5 linked regions of the Rattus norvegicus genome follow. The protein of the gene in region 1 interacts with the protein of each later gene in a biochemical or structural test. Links are inferred from orthologs where the notes say so. Each region holds a gene or a part of one and is shown in the gene's direction. Other genes may lie near its edges.

Evidence for each region. The genes of interacting proteins can lie anywhere in the genome.
Region 2: the proteins of Cul3 (region 1) and Dcun1d5 form a complex in vitro, tested with the Homo sapiens proteins (2 studies listed by BioGRID, with this or other methods). The link is inferred for Rattus norvegicus from reciprocal best matches to the Homo sapiens genes CUL3 and DCUN1D5.
Region 3: the proteins of Cul3 (region 1) and Kctd17 form a complex in vitro, tested with the Homo sapiens proteins (3 studies listed by BioGRID). The link is inferred for Rattus norvegicus from reciprocal best matches to the Homo sapiens genes CUL3 and KCTD17.
Region 4: the proteins of Cul3 (region 1) and Dcun1d4 form a complex in vitro, tested with the Homo sapiens proteins (2 studies listed by BioGRID, with this or other methods). The link is inferred for Rattus norvegicus from reciprocal best matches to the Homo sapiens genes CUL3 and DCUN1D4.
Region 5: the proteins of Cul3 (region 1) and Klhl20 form a complex in vitro, tested with the Homo sapiens proteins (2 studies listed by BioGRID and IntAct). The link is inferred for Rattus norvegicus from reciprocal best matches to the Homo sapiens genes CUL3 and KLHL20.

The regions. Positions count from the first base shown.
Region 1 is NC_086027.1:89,115,628-89,119,748, reverse strand, and holds the start of Cul3 (cullin-3), read left to right. Parts: upstream 1-1,321; 5' UTR 1,322-1,410; coding exon 1,411-1,476; intron 1,477-1,486; exon of another isoform or gene 1,487-2,771; intron 2,772-4,121. UniProt on the Homo sapiens protein: Core component of multiple cullin-RING-based BCR (BTB-CUL3-RBX1) E3 ubiquitin-protein ligase complexes which mediate the ubiquitination and subsequent proteasomal degradation of target proteins.
Region 2 is NC_086026.1:12,696,009-12,699,959, forward strand, and holds the start of Dcun1d5 (DCN1-like protein 5), read left to right. Parts: upstream 1-1,151; 5' UTR 1,152-1,391; coding exon 1,392-1,477; intron 1,478-3,067; coding exon 3,068-3,159; intron 3,160-3,951. UniProt on the Homo sapiens protein: Contributes to the neddylation of all cullins by transferring NEDD8 from N-terminally acetylated NEDD8-conjugating E2s enzyme to different cullin C-terminal domain-RBX complexes which is necessary for the activation of cullin-RING E3 ubiquitin ligases (CRLs).
Region 3 is NC_086025.1:111,858,401-111,862,355, forward strand, and holds the start of Kctd17 (BTB/POZ domain-containing protein KCTD17), read left to right. Parts: upstream 1-1,155; 5' UTR 1,156-1,203; coding exon 1,204-1,413; intron 1,414-2,509; coding exon 2,510-2,618; intron 2,619-3,955. UniProt on the Homo sapiens protein: Substrate-adapter for CUL3-RING ubiquitin ligase complexes which mediates the ubiquitination and subsequent proteasomal degradation of TCHP, a protein involved in ciliogenesis down-regulation.
Region 4 is NC_086032.1:35,074,490-35,078,600, reverse strand, and holds the start of Dcun1d4 (DCN1-like protein 4), read left to right. Parts: upstream 1-1,311; 5' UTR 1,312-1,397; coding exon 1,398-1,422; intron 1,423-2,265; exon of another isoform or gene 2,266-3,310; intron 3,311-4,111. UniProt on the Homo sapiens protein: Contributes to the neddylation of all cullins by transferring NEDD8 from N-terminally acetylated NEDD8-conjugating E2s enzyme to different cullin C-terminal domain-RBX complexes which are necessary for the activation of cullin-RING E3 ubiquitin ligases (CRLs).
Region 5 is NC_086031.1:75,938,841-75,942,813, reverse strand, and holds the start of Klhl20 (kelch-like protein 20), read left to right. Parts: upstream 1-1,173; 5' UTR 1,174-1,257; exon of another isoform or gene 1,258-1,319; coding exon of another isoform or gene 1,320-1,350; intron 1,351-2,182; coding exon of another isoform or gene 2,183-2,223; coding exon 2,224-2,246; intron 2,247-3,973. UniProt on the Homo sapiens protein: Substrate-specific adapter of a BCR (BTB-CUL3-RBX1) E3 ubiquitin-protein ligase complex involved in interferon response and anterograde Golgi to endosome transport.

The DNA.
Region 1 (4,121 bases):
TTTGGGAGAATCTCAGATTTCCCAGCGTCGTTGGAAACAGCAATTGAGCAAGTAGGTAAATCAGAAGTAGGATTCATTCTGAATTAGAAGCAAAAGGCAGTAGAATTGGACATTTCGACTATAGGATGATAAAAGAGGTCCCGAACAAATAAAAAATGTCTCCAAACCTACAGCAAGCTTAATGCCACGGTGATTTTGGTTTTAATGATATATACTGCTCTTGGAAATGGTCATATGTTTAACACAAATATTGTGGTACATCAGGCACTTGTTTTATTTCAATTCAAACAAAAACCGGGTTTTAACATTAGTGGGCTCTGGATTCTCCAGAAAGTACCAACTAATCAACAAGCCCCGGAGCTTGCGCAGTGTAAGAAAGCCGGGTTGACTCAATACTGAGGCGTTGCAACACCTAGCTAAATACAGGACACTGGTTTCATAGACTGCAGGTAACTCAGGCACAAACACTGCTTTCAGGTTTCTGGCGGGGATCAAGTACCCATCCCTAGGCCACGTGCCCTAGAAAAACACAGGAACAGTTCTAGGACATAGGAGCCTTCCTACTCGCACCCCACACCCTTTCCCCTGACTACCTGCAATCCGCTCGGGCCAAGCTCAGCCCCGCCAGCCCACAACAGAGCACTCCCCACTTCCCATTCGGAACTTCCCCCGCCCACTGCCCACGTGACACCTCACCTTCGCGCTCCACCAATCAGAAGCCACCTCCGCCTACCAGGGTCTCCGACGCTCCTCTTTTGAAAACGCAGCCTACGCCTCCTGCCCCAGGCCCCGCCCCCAGGGCGCTGACTACGCCCATTCCTAACTCCCCCCACCCCCCCTACTTCTCCCCGCGCCCTCCCTTCCCGGGCTTCGCCCCGCCCCGCCCCCGGCCTTGCGCCCGCCCTGATCTCGCGAGATCGGACGTGCCCGCCGCGGCCTCCCGCCTCCCCTCCCGTCCTCCCGCCCCCTCCCCCCATCTCTCCACTCTCCGCTCTCCTCCCTCCCTCCTCCCCCCTCCACCCTCTGGGCCGGATCTCGTCTCGCTGAGGCGGAGGAGGAGAAGGAGGAGGAGGAGGACGTTCGGCCTGCGCAGTGAGATGTTTGTCCGTCGCCGCCGCCGCCGCCATCGCGGAGGAGCGCGATAAAGGGAGCCGAGCCCGGCGCGAGGGGAAGCCCGCGGAGCCGCCGCGCCAGCGCAGCCCCCGGCCGAGCCCGAGCCGCCCGAGCCCGAGCCGCCGCCCCCGCCGCCGCGGCCGCCCAGGGGCCGGCCCGCCGCCCAGCCCAGCCCGGGGGCCGCGCCGCCGCCCCCCGCCGAGCCCCGCGGCCGCCCTCCCGCCTTCAATGTGACACCGGCGCCTCGGAGTGCGAGCCGCAGCCGCCGCCGCCGCCGCCGGGGAGGGGCCGAGCACCATGTCGAATCTGAGCAAAGGCACGGGCAGCCGGAAGGACACCAAGATGCGGATCCGGGCCTTTCCGGTGAGTCGGTCCTCGGCGCCCGGGATCCGGAGCCGCGGCCGGGAGCCGCACGCGAGGCCGGGGCTGAACTCCGCCAACAGGCCGCAGCCGGCCTCCCCTCCCCCACGGCCGCCGCCGGTGGCGGGGCGCGAGCCTTCCCGGCAACGGGGCGGCGCGGGGCCGGCGCGGCTACCTCCCGGGCCGTTCCCCGCGCCCCGGCCGCCTCGGGGCCTCCTTCGCGCCGGCCTCGGTGCCGCGGCCCTGAGGGGATGCGCGCTGCCGCCGCCGCACCCCTCGCGTGGGGCGTGTGTGTAACTTTTAGCGTGCGGTTTCCAGAAGGACCCGGCTTGGCTTTTACGGTGGTGGGGAAGGATCGTCCACCTCCGCCCGACTCCTTAGTCAGGAGCGGTCTTGCCATCCGACTGCCCCACTCACTGACAGAGATGCCACGAAATACCCACTGGCAAAACACTACTAGCAGCGAGCATAGTATTTATAGCATCTTTGATCCTGCAAGCCTCCTAAGGACTTGACCCACTCGGGTTCAGAATCGTCCCTCCACTCTTTGAAGGGCCAGGCACAGAAGGAGCTCTTGCTTTTCCGTGTCTTAGCCAAGGAAGTCCCCAAGAATAGTTGCCACTCAGACTTGTTTTACCTTGTACGTCTTTAGCGACAGCAAACGTTTTCTCTTCAGAAACTTTTCGTCTTGGCGTTACGTTGAGTCATAGGCTTGCGGTGTTTAGTAGATGGAGTGTATGTAACTTTGGATGTCTTGCCTCGATCAGATAGCCAGTGGCAGGCAATTAAAACGTCCTGTTGTAACAAACTGGACGTACTTGCTCATGTCGCTACAGTAACAGGTAAAAGTCAAATAGACAAACCAGCAGTGGAGCAGATTTTTAAAAGTAAAACTGGAGGAAGTTGTTTTCCCCATCAAAGGCTCATAAGCATTCTGTCCTGTGGGAGGGAAAGGGGGCCTTTGTCATCACTTTTTGAGCAGGCTTTTCCTGAAGTACCCTTTGCTGTGAGGAAAGGAAAGACCACGAGTTAAGTAACTTTGACCTGGAGAACTTGAGGGCCTCTGAATTCCTCATACCAAAGAAGTTACAACCGATGCAAAATTGTGGCTTTGCAAGGGACATAGTGTCAGCGTGTAGAAACTTGCACCTTAATGTAAATAAATGGGCTCTATGTAAACATGTAGGGCATAATTGGGTGAATGAGGTATTTTGATATTAGTTGCATTATGAGTGATTTTTCTAAATAAGAGATTACATCAGAAAGTGAGAAATGCCGGAAAAACAGCGCTAATAAAGGTAACTATTATGTTTTCCTTTGTAATTGGACAGTGAGCCAGGTTTATGAGCTTAATTTCCCTACTGAATCAACCACCCAAGTGATTGTCAAATCCGAATCCTTCCCTCTTTTTTTTTTTTTTTATAGCAGAATTCAGACTTAGTTGGGATTTTGTTTTGTCTTGTTTTTTGCCTTTTTTTTTTTTAAGTCAACAGTGACACTGATTTTTCTAGGAAATGTTTGCTCTTGGTTCTGTTGTTTCTTGGAGTCTTTGTTGTTGGGTAAAAAGTGAAAGAGCTTATATTTGGCCAGTTAATATTTTTCAGAGTAACCAGTTCTACCTTTATCTGTGTTTGCAACTCTTTGATCTCTAGATTTCTCTACTTGAACCTGTAGAGAAATCATCATTGGTCCAAGATATACTGAGTACTGTATGCAGTACTATTTATTCCTAGAGCTTTAGGACTTAGCAGTAGATGTGAAAAAGGAAAAGATCAGTGTTTTCTGGAGCTAGCATTGGGGATTAGAAGCAGGAAGAGAATTTTGTATCATTAGCTGAAGATGGTAATAGTGTGTGATAAGCTAGTATTGAAACTGAGATTTTGTTTTGTTTTTTGTTTGTTTTCTAGTTCGTAAGTAAATAACCATAGGTTGTTCCCGTTGAAAATAATCAGCCATGGTTGAGGCTAGATAATGCCCCAGTGATACTTCATTGAGTTCTGGGAAGTGCATCCTTAGGCTGTCAGGATTTCTTTCATTCAGATTAGATGTCTTGTATATAGTAAGTACAGCCCACATGGACTCTTAGAAGTTGTAAGTATGTGGTATTTCACACACAGAAATACATACCATTATTTGCTTATACATATATGTTCTTACAACTGGTATATGTTGTACCATGTGAATATGTTGTTACCCATAGTTTATGGCAGACTGTAAACTAATCAAGTTTCAGTTGCTCATTTCAGGTTTTTTACAAAATGGATGTGTAAAAGGAATGAAATAAGTTTAGACTTGTTGGTTTTCACTGTACAACAGTGGTAAGTTAACTTACAGGATATATTTCATAAATAGATGAGTACTTTTGATAAAAGTTACCATATAAATCAGGGTCTTTACTTTTTTTCCTTACATTTTTAGTGGATATTTTAAGCTTGCTGTCACATTATTAAGCAGAGTAAAAGTTACACCGTATTAACTTAGAATTAATACAGTTTTTTTCCTGCCCCCTCAATTTAAGTAAATCTACAAAATTTATTTAAAATAATTAATTTCTGTATTTTTAATTGTTGACAGAAAAAAGTTAATCTCTTAATTTTTAGACTTCCCTTCATTATGTAGAGTATTGCTTATTATACATCTTTTTGTTG
Region 2 (3,951 bases), on another chromosome or scaffold:
CTGTCATAGGTTCTCATTATATAGCTTGGTGAAAATCAAGAACTATCACGAGCAACAGAAAAAAGTAAATCACATAACTAGGTGCTTCTGTATACAGACATAATGTCCCTTCCCAAGCCTAACAACCTGAATTCCACCTCAAGAGTCACAAGATAGAGAAAAATGAACTGTCAAGTTGTCATCCCAGCACTGGTACACAATTGCCCCAATAATAAATACATATTTAAAAAAAAATCTTCATCTTTCAGTTGTCTACTTTCTTCTATAGGGAGTTCTGTTTTAGAGCTTAGATCTTGTAATTTTCATATAAAAACAATGCTTTGTGCAGTGTTTATAATAGGGTTGAATGGAGTATAGGTTTGAAAATTATTTTCATTGGTAAAATATATTAACTATATGTCCAGAACTCATTACAACAACCGTTTTTTCTCTTTCTCCTTAACTCTGACTAGATTAGGGTCCTACTATGGTAGCACAGTTGGCTTACAGACATGAACTTCATTCACTAAGAATCTTCTAGGAGATAACTAGACATACCATACCCTTCTTTTTTTTTTTTTTTTTTTTTCTTTTTTTTTTTCTTTTCTTTTTTTCGGAGCTGGGGACCGAACCATACCCTTCTTATAAACAATATTTCCATTAGAAGTAACATGATTCCTGTTTCTTGAGAGCGGTCCATTAGAATGGTTTCCCAAACCCTTTGTATAAGTTAGTCAGTTTTCCAGTCTCTTATCCACGAGGAGAGTTCCTCAGAAGTAAAACATGGAGGCGTTGCCTCAGCACAGGAGGAAGCCATAAACTGACACTGAGCATGAGGGAGAAAAGGACAAGGAGCGTGAGACACTGATCTCAGGCCCACCAAGAACACCCAAAGGGCTGGAGACGCTGTAGGTCAGGAGTGGGCACATTCACGCGTGGCTCCTCACCAGATTACTTCGCTCGCCAGCTGTGGAGCGTTCATGATTTTTATAAAGGACTTCCCTCTGGAAACTCGCCCGAAAAACTCGGGAGACTGAGGCTCCACCTGCAGAGACGCAAATCCTAAAGGCCCATAGGTAGGGAGACCACTCCGGCTCGGCAAGCTTCCTTGCTGCGTCACTTCCGGTCCTGAGCCATCCGCTTCCGGGTCAGGCTGAGCCGCCTGCTCTTCGCGACTACTGAAGGTGCCGCGCTGTCGGCGTTCGCTTCCCCTGGAAAAGCCCGAGCCGCGTTATCGCCGGGCTTAGCGCTGCGCTGCCCCGAATCGCCCCTAAAGAGGAAACCCGAGGCGAGGTCGCGCCTCGGTCCTCCGCTGCGGTCCCTGGCAGGCGGGAGCCGGCGCTGCGGGGCCTGCGGCGGAGCGCGATACCCCTCCCCGGCCGCCCTGTCCACCTTGCCGGGGAAGGCGGAAGATGCCAGTGAAGAAGAAGAGAAAAGCTCCCGGAGTGGCAGCGGCGGTCGCGGAAGACGCGGGCCTCAAAAAGTGTAAAATCTCCAGGTACCGCCTGCCCCCACCCCGCAAGCTCTCTCCTTTCCCCGTTGCGGGACAGGCCGCCAGCCGCTAGCCTAGACGAGAGAGGCGAGCCCTCTCGGGCGAGGCGGTCGGTGAGGCGCCCAGAGTCTCCGCTCCGCGCGGGACCGAACCTCGTGTTCGCCTGTGCGTGAGCTCTGGCGTACTTGGACAAGCTCTGAGATTCACCCCACTTTGTTGTCTGCGTGCCCAGAGGGTAGGAAACAGACGACCATACGTATGCCTTCTCCATCCAATTTCCCAACCGAGAAGTGAGTGCGGATCTGCCAAGATTCATCGCGTCCCTGTGTCTCACAAGCAGAATTGGCTTGGCCCACACATTGTTAAATATCAGGGTGTGAAGAAAGGAGCAGAGCTTGAAGAGTTTGACAGCTGCCTTGGGAATGGTGGAAAGGAAGCCTATGCTATAATTGGTCTCCTGAGTTAGTATTAGAAGTGGCCTAACGTGGATGATCCCAGCAGGAGACCTTTTAAATAGCTGGAGGCTCAGCTTCTAGAGGCACCATGCCTCCACCTGTACCAGTTCCCTACACAGAGTTGGAAAAGGCCCTTGTGGTTTTTGTTTTGTAGCATTAAGTAGATAGTAGCTCTCAGTCCCCTTTTAGGTGTTTGCAAGCTATTGTGTTCTGTGTTCTCTTAGAGGAAAAGAAAACAAAGCAAAACTGAAGTTAAAGCCATTCACTCCCTTTATGGCATACATTCAATCATCACAGAATCATTATTGCTCTGAAAGTTATTGCGATTTAACTTTGAGAAGTGTGCTTCTTCCCATACTCTATGGGTTGTTTTGTATTAATGGTTGACACATAAAGTGACAAAATACTACCATTAAAACAAGACAGCCAGCACTACACAAAGAAGATTTCTCTTTAAGGAGAGATGCAGTGAGGAATGCACTGCTTAAAATATGAAAGAAGTGACTGGTTTCATCCTAATCTTTTTGTAATCAATTGCTTTGTGCCCCCCTCTCCCGCCCTTAGTGTGTTTTAGCAAAAGAGTCTAGGTGATATTTCTTGGGTGATGTATAAGATTCAGTTTTCATTATGCCCTTTGGTGGTTAACATTTCTCTTGACCTTAGCTCTTGGAAAACTATATCTAAGATGTTTAACTTAAACCAGTTAAAACAGCTAGCTGGGCAGTATCCAGTGATTCAGCCTAAATTTTAACAGAGATCTTCATACAAATCAGTGGCAAAATGGAAGTAAGTCTTCAGGCATTCGATAAGGTCTATAGCTTAGTGGTAGAGAGCAAGCCCAACATGAGTAGTTTAGGGAGAGAGGTTTATACTTTCTTGTCTAGTCTTGGGTTGAGACTTAGACTGCACTTCTTTATTATCTTGAAATCTAAGGAAATCATTTTAGGCACTATTTTTGGAATCTGGTAGCAAACAAAGTAGCATTTGGATTTCATTGAGTGCAGGTCCTTATTGCTAATCCTTTCCCCATAATGCTGACTTATAAACCACTATTTTGTTTACATGGAAGCTATTCTTGTTGAAGCTACTTTTGTACTAAAGTTGAGTCTTATTAAGCCTTAGACATTTACGTGTTTCTAAGCTATTGCAGATCCCAGCCTCCTGCTAGACTCATCAGTGGAGAGGAAGATTTTTCAAGAAAGAAGTGCCTGGCTTGGTTTTATGAGTATGCAGGTAATGAAATTCATTTAACAGGATACCATATCATTTGCATTTAGAAGCTGTGGTTTATTCCTTGTTCCTGACCTGTTATGTTTACTGGGATTAGGGTCAAGGCTAAAGGGTTAGGGATTGGCTCAGAATTTAGTGCCATGAACATATCTGACAACTTTTCTTCCTTAGAACAGGTCTAGTCTTAATACTAAAGCTAATCTCTTACCTGCTTTCCTACTTTTATGTTTTTGTTTTTCTTTTATCATTATTATTCTCAGAAGTATTTGCTTAAAGCTAAAACACATAGTAGTCGTTGCCTTGTTATTATACTAACCATGTTACTCTTTTAAGTGATGGCATCCTAACTTGTCAAGTTAAGCTAACTGTATGCAAGGCTAGACTAGTTTGAAAAGGGGGTAGCAACTTTGCTATTGGGAACACCAGTGATCCCAATTGTACAATTTAAAAATGGTTTGGTAGCAGAATAGATTCTTTCTAGATCAGGGGAAATAAATGCTATTACTGGTATCCCAAGACAACCACTAACCCAAATTAAATATAGAGAAATTTTTTTTTTTGGCTGACCTCTATTTAAAACGTTGACCCATTATTAAAAATGCATTATATAGAATCAGAAAGTTTCATCTTATTTCACTTTATAAAGGTTACTAGACACCATAAAGATGGTCATTATGCATGTATATATATATATATTTTTTTTTTTCCTTGAATGCTTGATTCTATTAGCTCCTATTAGGACTTCCTTGAGTATTTTAAGATGGAATTAAATATTTATTTTTAACTCTTGACATT
Region 3 (3,955 bases), on another chromosome or scaffold:
CCCTTCTCCCATCTTGCAGAGCAGACCCGTGCCAGCCAGTTGTCTCACCCCCAAACTTCAGTTCTAGCATATATGGGAGCCAAGTGGCACCAGGGCAACCAGTACCTAAACTTAACCTTCTGGATGTTCACGCCTTAAGCGGACTCCTCATCACCAAGACTGGTGTCCACAGCACTCTGGCTTCTGCCCCTCTGGACTTTGTTCTTGTCTTGATCTACCCCTCCCCTCTGTCCGTCCTTGCAGACCAGGGACCATCGGGACCTGCCCAACAAGCCCTATAAGCCAGGGTTGTCTTTACAATCCCTCATCCCCCTAAGCCTTGCCGTCCAGACTGACTCCAGCATTGGGAAGGAGTTGATATGTCTGCGTCTGCTTGCTCTTGGGTGTGGGCAACTGGAAGGTGCAGGGGGCTGGGTGGAGGAGGACTGAGCTTACTGTGGGAGCTCTGGCCTGATCCTTAACAACCCTGGGAAACGCACAGGAAACGGACTGGACTCTAGTATGGAATCCACCACACAGTCCCTTTACTTCTGTGACCACATCTGTGCCATTGTGTTTGTGATACCAATCCAGCAGGGCTTCGGGAAGCTTAAAGGGGTAATATGTATGTTCACACAGCTTCTGCCACACAGCCAGCAACCAACTACATGTCCTCAGAGAATTTAGGAGGAGGTAAAGACTTCATCCCTGTGATCTTTACCACACACAGGACAAAAAGAAACACTGCTGCTTTGGCTCAGTAGTTTAGCATACCAGAGGCCCAGGTTTCCAACTCCAGTAAAACACACGCACATGCGCATGCATGGGTATGCACACACGCACATGCTCATTCACACACAGGCACGTGTGCCTATTTTTAAAAGTAGGTTCAGGTAAATATAGGAATCTCTGGAGGAAGAAAGTTCTTCTCAGGACAGGTATTCCTCAGCTGCCCCACCACCACCACCACCACCACGGAGAACAATTGGGGGGAATAGCCAATTGAGGGAATCACTGTTTTTCCAGGGCCCCAGACTTCTGCAAACCAAGCAGTTTGGCCACAAGGAGATACCAAGTGATAGATCGCCAAGAAAGGTAATGTGGGGCGGGACATGCTGTCGGAGCAGCACCAGGACAAGCGCAGAGCATCCCAGCCCTGGCTCCAGACTACAGCTCCCGGCATGCCCCACACCTGGTACCCGCCCGCTGCGTGCGGAGGGAAGGATGCAGACACCGCGGCCGGCGATGAGGATGGAGGCCGGGGAGGCAGCGCCACCGGTGGGGGCGGGCGGCCGCTCTGGGGGCGGCTGGGGCAAGTGGGTGCGGCTGAATGTGGGGGGCACGGTGTTCCTGACCACCCGCCAGACGCTGTGCCGGGAGCAGAAGTCCTTCCTCAGCCGCCTGTGCCAAGGCGAAGAGCTGCAATCGGACAGGGTGAGCCTTGAGCCCGCTGACGGGAGGTGACCTGGCCCCGCTCTCCCTTCTGTCCCGCTTGCGCGTCCCTCGGCCTCTGGCTTTCCTAGGATTCTGAGGCGGGGAGCCGAGGCAGGAGGAGGGGGAGGAAACGGAGCCTAGAGGAATAGCTATGCCCATTGCCGTGGCAACGGGACAGCACAGGCCGCAGCCATTTGGAGCTGTGGAGCGCTGCCCTGGATCCCGGACGCTTCCTTACTAAGGAGCGCTGGGGAGGGACCGACAAAGCGGGCCTGCCTTACTGCCCTGGCTGACTCTTAAAGAAGTTGATGCGGCTGCTTCTCCCCGCCCTTGGGGTGTGGGCAGCTGAAGAGTGCAAGGAACTGGGTGGAGAAGGCCTAGGTGTCTTGGAGCTGAGCTTAATGTGGGGAAGAGCACTGGCTTTGAGATTCCACTTGTGGGCTCACCCTGCTGGGAGGAGGAGTGACCTGGGAAGAGAAGGGAACTTCCCTGCTCTGACTTTGGCCTCCTCATGTGCAAGGCCTCTGGAGTTAGCTTGTCAAAGTTCCCTGTCCCCCATTCTGTGGCCCTCTTACACTGTGTCCTTGGGTGAGTCCCCTGCTTCTTGATGTCTCAGTCTTCTGTGCTAGGTTGTACAGATGCCAGTCCCTGCAGGCTGCAAGTGTCCAATCAGAGTGTAGCTTTTTTGGACACTTGCAAACATCTAGTGGATAGTAGGGTTGCCTGGGGGGAACAGCCTCCAAGAGGGAAACTTTCCTAAGAGGGAAATTCACTGGGTCCTGTGCTGAGTGAGGTGGGGGTCACTCAGAAATCTGGTCACCCTCTATGCTCACATCTAATCCTCTGATAACAGGGTGGGGGGGCGGGATAAGGGAGGGTAGATGCTCCAGAGACCAGATGATTGGCTCAAGGTCACACAGCCCAGAAAAGGCAGAGGTAGAGTTTGCACCCAGATCCTTACTGCTCTATCTCTCTCCGCTTCCTCTCTTCTATAGTCATTTTCCAATCTGTAGTGACTTGAGCTTATATGGGGGAGGGGGCGCTGATTTGGGGAAGCTTGCACACCTCTCAGTGCCTGTGGTCCTCTCCTCCACAGGATGAGACCGGGGCCTACCTCATTGACCGTGACCCCACCTACTTCGGGCCCATATTGAACTTCCTCAGGCATGGCAAATTGGTGCTGGACAAGGACATGGCTGAGGAGGGTGAGTTGGTCCATTGCACTGGTCTGGGTCTCTCTACAGCCTACCAGAGCCTTCAGGGGAGGCCTAAAACTCCACTTGTAGCCAGGACAGCATCTATGTTTCTCCATTATTTTCTGCCTGTCCTAGAGTGGAGTCCCATTCTCCAGGTCTCTGCCACACTGACAGATCCCAGTGGTCACTGGGAAAATGATGTGGAAACAGGAAGTGGTCAAAAGGAACCAGCAAGGTCCCAAAACATCTGATGCCTTTGGGAATGAATGACCCCTCTCCTTGGCCTTCTGGCAAGCCAGGTGTGGCCTGTGACGCCACAGGAAGAGTTATGTCTCCTTTCTCTGCCTTATTCTGTGTCTCCCAAGCAGGGGCTTGCCATCAGCCAGTAGGTGAAATTTGTGATTCTAGAAGCTGGCAGCCTCTACGGCCCAGTGGCTTGTTGGGGAGGTGGGGTGCTATTCCTAGTAAAAGTTTGGCTTTTCCCAGACCTCTGAAGACTCATAGCCGGGCCCAGCTGTTGTGGAAGCAGAGTGGCGAATGGGTCAGAGCAGGGACTGCATTCATCCCCAAACCACCAGCTCTCCTCAGACTTGACTGAGCTCTGGATCAAGTCAGGCTGGCTCAGATATGTCAGTTTTCTTTGAGTCTCTTGGTGTCTACAAAAAAACAAAACAAAACAAAAAAAAACACATCATGACCCACATTCAGAAGAGATGGGTCCTGTGTACCTGTAGGTGTTTACACAGCCCTTGCTCTAGGCAATGGTCTTCTCTGGCTGACCCCAGTGGAGTACGGTGATCCGAAGGCTCCCCAAAGGACATCATGCTCAGAGCTTACTGTAGCCTACTGATAGCTGCCTTGCAGTCCAAGGGGAGCAGATCACGAGGGCGGGGCCTGTCAGGAGCAGGTCCCTCTGGGAGGTTCATACTCCAACTGCAGCATAGCCAATACCTGCCTACCGGTTCCAGCTCCTCAGAGCTCTGGTACTCTCATAGCCTCAGATGGGGTGGGGGAGTATCTGGAGAGACGGAGCTCAGGAAGAAGTGGTGTGGCAGTGTGTCTTAGTTCCGGTTTACTGCTGTGAACAGACACCATAACCAAGGCAATCTTACAAGGACATTTAATTGGAGCTGGCTTACAGGTTCAGAGGTTCAGTTCATTATCATCAAGGAGGGAGCATGGCAGAGTCCAGGCAGGCCTGGGGCAGGAGGAGCTGAGAGTTCTAGCTCTTTATCTGAAAGCTGCTAACAGAATACTGGCTTCCCAGGCAGCTAGGACAAGGGTATTAAAGCCCATGCCCACAAGGCCACACCTTTTCCAACAAGGCCACCTTTCCCAACAGTGCC
Region 4 (4,111 bases), on another chromosome or scaffold:
CATTACAGGGATTCAACTTAATTACAGAGAAATAGAGGGTGATGGGATGGAACACATCCCAGTAACACAGTAATGTAGATGACAAGGACTGTCAGCTACTTCGCTATTGTAACATCCGTCCAAACATCCGTCCAGATTTCGGAACTCTGCAACTCAAGAGCCAAGGCGGTAGAATTCAGAATACTAACGCTGGACCGGACCCCTTTGTTATTTTTGGACGTATCATCCAATGTCTGTGGCAGAATCTATAGGCAGTCCAGGCTGTGCTTGGGGCAAGGGCTGTTGGAGGTTCCCAAGTGGAGAGTGTGTTCGCGGTGGGGGCGGGGCGCCCGTCCTCCAGCATCTCTTTGCGTTATTGCATTACCATAGTGATTGAGGAGAATTGGTTTTCAAGTACTGAAAAACGTAAAGAAACAACAACAAAAGCAGTATTTTGATTCAAGACACTTAACAATCACAACCCTATTAACGCTTTCCTCTGTTAAACAGCGGTTTGGCCAGGTTCAACTTATGTTTCTTAGACGTATAGTCAGGGGACCTAGCTTGTCCTGGTGACAGGCTGACTGACCCCAGAGCCTAATGTGGCACTGGGTTTTTCTCTCGCTGTCTGGGGAGCATAGAAGTGTCGGACGGACAATGCCTGCGCATTCGAAACCTTTGGCGCAAGCAATGCACAACTCTGAATAATTGACTCTAAAAAAAGGAGGCGCATTTCCAAAGTTGGGGACAGAAAGGTTGTGGCATAAAAGGGAGGAAAGCGGAGGCTTTTTTTTTTTTTTTCCTAATTTCCCGCGATGGGAAACGATTGATGAGAACTGGCGCGACCGGGGCACGGGCAGGATCAGGATCTGGCCGACCGCCTACCAGGGAGCACCGGTCCCTGTGGCCCCCAGCTTGGCTCCGGGTCCCTCCGCCCGCTTTGTTTCGGATGCTTAACCTAGGTTCTCCGTTGGTCTCTCTGTTGGTCTCCCGCTCCAGGACCCGCCCGCCACAGGGCGGGGCTTCAGGGTCAAGATAGACCAAGTCCCCTGTCTCGCCCCTCCACGCGCTTTCGGACCCTTGAATGACTGACAGCCGTTGGGTCCAACCTGCGGCTCCGAATAGTGGCCTCTACCAGGGGCGGTCCGAGGTGAGGAGCCGGGGCCAATCACGTTGCAGTCTAGGGGGCGGGGTCCTTTTGCCTGCTGCAGGCGGCGCAACCTGCACTCCTTCGGTCAAATGAGAGCCGAAGAGGGGCGGTCCCTCGGTGGTGGTCTAGCCAATGAGAAAGGCGGGATGGGCGGGTCGGAGTAGGAGCCGCCGGTCCTCTGTTGAGAGCTAAGGTTTGGGGAGTCGGTAGGGGGACCGCGAGTGGAGCGCGGGAGCCCGGGCGGCAGGCGGGTGTGAGCTGCCCGAAAATGCACTCGGATGCTGCAGCTGTCAGTGAGTAGCACAGAGCCAGCGGGCCGGCGCGGGCCCGCACACCCGGTCCGCTCCCGTGCTCCCTTCTCCACTTCTCCGGTTCCTACCGCGCTGGAGTCCCTGGCCCGGGAACGAGCTGTTCCCCTCCTGGAGTCCGAGGGCCGTGACGCTGCGGGCGGCTGGGGCGGGGGCAGGGGCGGCGGGGAGGGGGTGGGGACTGGCTGGCTTTCCGCGGTGGGGGGAGGGGGGACATATTCTGAAGGCCGGGGGCCGGGAGTCGGTGGTGCACGGAGGTGGAGACCGCGGCGGGCGCTGGCAGATGGGGTCAGGGGTGGTACGAGCGGGCAGGGAGAGACCCTACGGTCTGAGTACCGGGTGAGGCTTGCGGTGCCGGAGCTGTGCAGTCTACCGGGGAAGGCGGGGGAGTGCGAGAGGAGCGGGGGCGGGGACAATAGGAAGGAGGGCTGGGGGCGGGGGCGGGAACAATGGGTGGGGAGCAGGGGCAGCGACCGGGCGGGTGAGGGGTTGGGGGCTGATGTAACCCGGACACGGAGTGGGAGACACTGCAGTGGGATGGGAGAGTTGTGGAGTCTGGTGTGCGGGACGGCGGCCGGGAGTGGCGAGAGGGCTTGGGGGCAGGTGTTGGGATGGGGGTCCCTGGAGGAGTGGATGGTGGGTAGGACTGCGATGCAGTTTGTGGGCTGAGATAGGGGTCGGGGAGGGTGTGCAGAGTGAGTTAGGAAGAAGAGTAGGTGGGGAGGAGCGGGATGGGGAGGGCTGTCATCCTCGGGTTCGGTGCTCTTGGGGCGGGGTGGGGAGCGTTGAACTGTGCATTGGGGGAGGTGCTTCCTCCCGGGAGAGGCCCGGTCCAGCCTAGGAGGGGACCACCCTGAGCATCGGGGTGCACAGAGGAGAGGGGGCGGGGCCGGGTACTCGGGAGGTGTCCCGAGGCTGGCAGTGGCTGCCACTTTTAGCGAGCAACCGGGAGTGAGGTCAACGCGGGCTGGGATTACAGGACCCGGAGGCCGCTGTCTGCTTGCTGACCGGACCTGCAGGGGTCCTAGAGGCGGGGTGGAGGAATTAGCGTAAGAGGTGTCAGGGTCCCCGGCGGTCCGTAGGTTTGGCAGTGTGTGACGCAGTTCCCTAATTTCTGACTATCAGGTGTAGAGACTGATGCGTCAGGACCTGTTAACCTGTATGGAGGGCCGCTTTGGAGGCATAGCAACGCGCGTGCGAGAAGCTACCTCCGCCCGAAGCACCGGGAGGGTCCTTTAGGGGTTTCCTTTAGGGTCTGGCTCCTGGAACCGGTGTAAAGGGAAAGGCAGGCTCATGGAATTCTGGGACTTGTAGTCTCAGCTGCCCGGGCCGCGGTTGGATTGGGTGCACGTGGGTAACTGTGGAAACGAGTCCCAGAATGCAGCGCGTCCCTTGGAACCTCCTTGCTTGACTAACTCGTGCTTTATGCCGCGGAGACCCAATGCGTTCTCTCCGGGAGATTCCTGGATTCCTTGGGCACCGCAGAGGGCGAGCCCAGGCCAAGCCCTGGCCTTTCTCCGAGTTAATTTTCCCCTGCATCTGGTAGCCTTGCGGAACGAATGCTTAGTTTTGAAACATCTTGCATACATTCGTTTTAAAGCAATGTTTATCATGGAATATTTAGAGTGTATTCAGTGTATGGAAGTCTAGGGTGAAGTATATACATCCTTACATAAGTATGGAAACTAAGTAGAGACAAATACATCCCTTGTGAAGAAAATACAGACAACTGCACTGATATTTCTTGGGCAACTTGGTTTGCCCAAGAATTAGGGTTTTGTTTTTTGTTTTTGGAAGCAAATCAAGAATGGCAGCTTAGTGGAATTTGAGGTTGAAGTAGTCTCATGCCAGAACCTGAAATGAAACCCTAAAGGTGAGCAAAGGGGAACTGTGATGTCTTAACTTTTATGTAAGTAAAGCAAACGGGGCTGCTGTTTGCCCTTTGGATGCCAAGCTGTCCTTCTCTCTTGACCATTACATGTCTTCCTGAGTTTGTGGACTTCCAGCCACCAGCCACATCCTTTGCCAGTTCTCCTTAGTGATCACTCCCAAAGTGGGGGCTTTAAGATTTTTTTTTTTTTTTTTTTTTGGTGTGTGGTGTATCGAATTCTATGAACCATCAGTAATTGGAATGGTCATTGGAGGGGTGTTTTAATAACCCAATTGTAAACATCTTTTTTTTTTTTTTGTTTTGTTTTTTGTTTTTTTTTTTTTTTCCCGGAGCTGGGGATCGAACCCAGGGCCTTGCGCTTCCTAGGTAAGCGCTTCTACCACTGAGCTAAATCCCCAGCCCCCAATTGTAAACATCTTGATGAGTTTTTTTTTTTAATTTTTTTATTATTATTATTTTTTATTAACTTGAGTATTTCTTATATACATTTCTTGATGAGTTTTAAGATCTGGAAACGACCTGACACAATTAAGACAGTATTGAACTTGTATATGTAGCAGACAATTCTTTAAAACTTATTTTTACTATTTTTAAGTGTATATATGTGTGGGTATGTGCACGTGCATATAGATGCCATAGAGATCAGATGAAGGCTTGGGATCCCATAGAACTGGAGTTATAGGTGGTCGTGAGCTGCTCAACTGAGTGCGGGGAATGAAACTCAGATCCTCTTAGGTGTTGGGCAGTCTCTCTAGACCTTACAGGATGGCTTTTGAAATAAGA
Region 5 (3,973 bases), on another chromosome or scaffold:
TAGATCTTGACATAATTATGAAGAGCTGATTCACATTAAACTCCTCCCTTTAAAAAAGAAACAGAGTAGTTGAAGCACAAGCCAGATTACAGTAGACAGTAGGTTAAGAATGAATCAATGGGTTGATAAAAATAGGCAATATCACTTTTACCCTGGTTATAGGCTTAAAAGCCCATCTTTAGTCATTACCAGTCCTTAATGTTTTTATAACGCCCTTGTTATTGAGATGTATAGTGATAAAGAATTAAAATCATAACTCATATTTTGGAAGAACCTGAGTCGCTTTGACGATGACTTTTAGACAATCCACACAAAAGAAACCTGAGAGGTGCACGTATAAGATGCCATTTCAGGGGGTTGGGGATTTAGCTCAGTGGTAGAGCGCTTGCCTAGCAAACGCAAGGCCCTGGGTTCAGTCCCCAGCTCCGAAAAAAAGAAAAGAAAAAAAAAAGAAAGAAAAGGAAAAAAAATATGCCATTTCAATGGATCTAAATCATTTTATAACCATCAGATTGGAAAAATATTGAAGTTGAAAGTACCAATAATATAGACCAGCAAGAATCCTTGAACCATTCTGGAGGAAGACACAACATAATTGTGGCCAGATTCTAGAACCATTGTACGTGGCATCAAGTCGTGGCTCTAACCCTTACATGCTATGCCCTTTGCCCTTTTGCAGGTTACATAATGCTTTGGTACCAACTGGAATGGTACTATCTGAAATATAATGCTTTGGTACCACCACTTGGAAAAATGGTAATAAATCCTTCTTCAATAGGAGAGACGTTAGAACTGAAAAACTAATACACAATGTTATATATTAAGTATTTGATAATAAATGGAATATCCATTGCTGTTACTAGTATACATATTACTTATATATCACAGGTACATATGCAGAAAAAAACTGGCCCAAAAGACAAAGTTTATCATAGAACTAGAATTTGCTTGCTTTCTAAATATATTGTAAAAATCAGTTGGACTAATAGTACTACTAGTCCTGGGAAACGCTCAGCGAAAGGAGCAGCTACTTCCGGAGCCACACCGGAACCACTTGCCGGAACGTGTGCAGTTCCATGGGAAGGATTTAGTGATAGGACCACTTCCTGCTTCTGGATGGGGGGGTGGGGGGCGGGTATAGGGAAAGGAAATAGCTGCGGGAGCCGCATCCTGCCTGCGCTATCGGCTCCTGAGGTGGAGGCAGAGAGGGTGGAGAAGGCAGAGAAGGGTGCCGCAGAGAAAAAAGTGTCAAAGCCAGTAAGTGAGAGCCTTAGAGCAGGGGATGGAGAACAGAGTCCCAGGTCTCGCTTTGCAGATCTATGATCTCAACTTGCCGAACTGCCCAGTGGGGTCAGTGCTTTCTAGATTGCCTGTCAGTGAGCGCCTCAGAGGGACTGTGGGGCTCCTTGGTCGGGCCTTGCAGGGCTCCAGACTGCGCTACTGCCGTCCGTCAAGGTGTCTTGAAGCCAGGGGAAGCCTGTGCCATGCTTTCTGGGGACGCTAGGGCTCCACATCCTGGACAGCTTCACTTGGAATTCCAAGGGAGCGAGCACTAAGCCTCCCATTTTACCTTTGGAAGCCAGTAGGATCCTGATGGTGAACAGTATTTCTGCGACTAAGACGAGAGCTTGTGAGAGTTGTAGTCTAGAAGTACTTTCCCCGCCCTTGTTCAAGCTGCCCGGGCTAGTCGGAAGTGGAGTTGTTTTTAAAGGCAAATGCCTTGGCCTGGCTGTCACTTCAGAATCAGTTAACAACCTTCAGATCCAGTGCTAAAACAATGCGTTTCCTATCCGAGTCATTAAATTAGTACTGCTGTGGGTGAGAAGTGATTACTCTGCAAATATACTTGATGGTGAAGTTAAACAAAAAAAAAAAAAAAAAAAAAAAAAAACCAAAAAAACTCCAAGTGCATCTTGAACAGACAACACCGACTAGCGATCATGACTACTATGATCCTGACTGCTTTTCCACTTACCCTCACATTCACATATAATCTATCACCTTAGCATCTTTAGTTAGCGATAGCCATCTTAAAGGCATTACATTATGATTGTGCATCCATGCAAAAATTATATTAGGATGTGAGATTCTTGATTACAGACGAAATGAGTGAAACAATTTATATAAGTTGCTGGAGAATTCGAACAGTTTTTAGTAAGCTACTACTTTTCTCTTGTTGAAGGTACGGCTTTAGAATACGGTGAAGGATACTTTTCATGGTGCATGGAAGGAAAGCCAATGCGCAGGTAAGCCTTTTAGGAATAAGATACATTAATGTCAGTGGTTGGAATTTAGCGTCTACCGACAGTGCGTCATTTAACGTTAGTCACAAATCCTGCTTGGAATTTATCATTCTCGTTTCAAGTAAATCAAAACTAGTGATGTCAGAAATTAGCAACTTTGGTTGGTTGGTGTTGTATCGTTTTTGTTTTGGGGGGATTGTTTGCTTGTTTGTTTTGAAACAAGAACTTATTGTGTGGTCTCAGCTGTTTTGGAGCATGCTCTGTAAACCAAGTTGTCCTCGAACTCACAGAGATCCACCTGCCTCTATCTTTCAAATGCTGAGTTAAAGGTGTACGCCACCATATTCCACAGCTTGATAATGGAATGTAGGAGTTAGATTTCTAAAGAGTTTGGGTTTTCTAGTTCTTAATATTTAAATCTAACCTTTTGCGTAGCAATTTTTGTTACACTTAACCGTCAAGTGTACTATAATACTTTGTGAGCTTACCATAAATTTAGTACCTTGTGCAATATAGAAGATTCTGTTGCCAAGTAAAAGTAAATATTGTAAGACGCTGTGCTGCATTCCTAGTTATGGTTTGATTATTTTTACTGGTGTTCAATAATATGTTTACTAAAATAGCTGCGTTACAGTGAAGATTAAGGACTAAAATAGATGTAGAAAAATAGAAGTGTGAAAAAGTATGTAGGCTCTCTTGCCTCTAGAACTTACTAACGCCTTTTCTCAATCTGTCTGAGAAATTGTACTAGAATCTTTATTGAAACAAGTCAATTCTATTCAGTCAGTGTTTAAACTTGTATTATGGTTATCAAACTCTGTTTTGTCGTATGTTACTTAACATGGGAGATAAAGAACACAGAGACCCTATAGAAAGAGGCATGCAGTCCACCATAAGGACAGGACTGAGAACTGGGAATGGAGCTGCTATGACCAGCAAACCTGCAAATCCCCAGCACCTTAAGGCAGAGGCAGCAGGATCCCAAGATCAAGGTCACAAGCGAGAATCTGAGGATCCTTTTTCAGATTTGTTATTGATACATCACCCGGCTTTGAACTCTTCCTCTCTCTCTTGTCCTGTTAACTTTGCCAGTGTATGTGTCCATGATACAGCATTAGTACGTGTTCAGTGATGCTTTAAGATGTCCACGTGAGAAGACGTCACAGAGGTGACGCATTCTGTCATCTTACTTCTGTCTTACCCCATAGCAGAAAGTATTAGACTGTAACATACTACAAGAAACTAACCACACATTTATTAAGTGCTTCACCACTTCATTCTCTAAAATGATTATAAAAGCCACGGATTTTGTCTCATCCTTGGTTGCCATAAATGCCATGTCTTATGTAATTGCTAAAATAAGAACTTAATTTTTTTAAATTAAATTTTATTTTAATTTTATAATAGAGTGATCATGTTCTTTCCTTCCACCCAACTCCTCCCAGCTCCTCCCTACTTCTCACTCATTCGAGTTCCTGTTCTTTCTTCCTCTTAAACACACCCCCACACACCCACACGACAACAAAAACATGGAGTATATTTTGTATTGGCTGGCCACTCTTGGGCCTGGGGCCTGCCCTAGACTGTGGTTGATATACTCAGTGAAACCCGAATTCTCCTCTCTCAGCAACTCTCGGTTGCAAATAAGTTCTTGGTTGGAGTGAGACTTTGTGCCTAGTTCCCCTTCTCGGTACTGGGATTTTATAAAGGAAAGTCGGATTGTGGCAGTG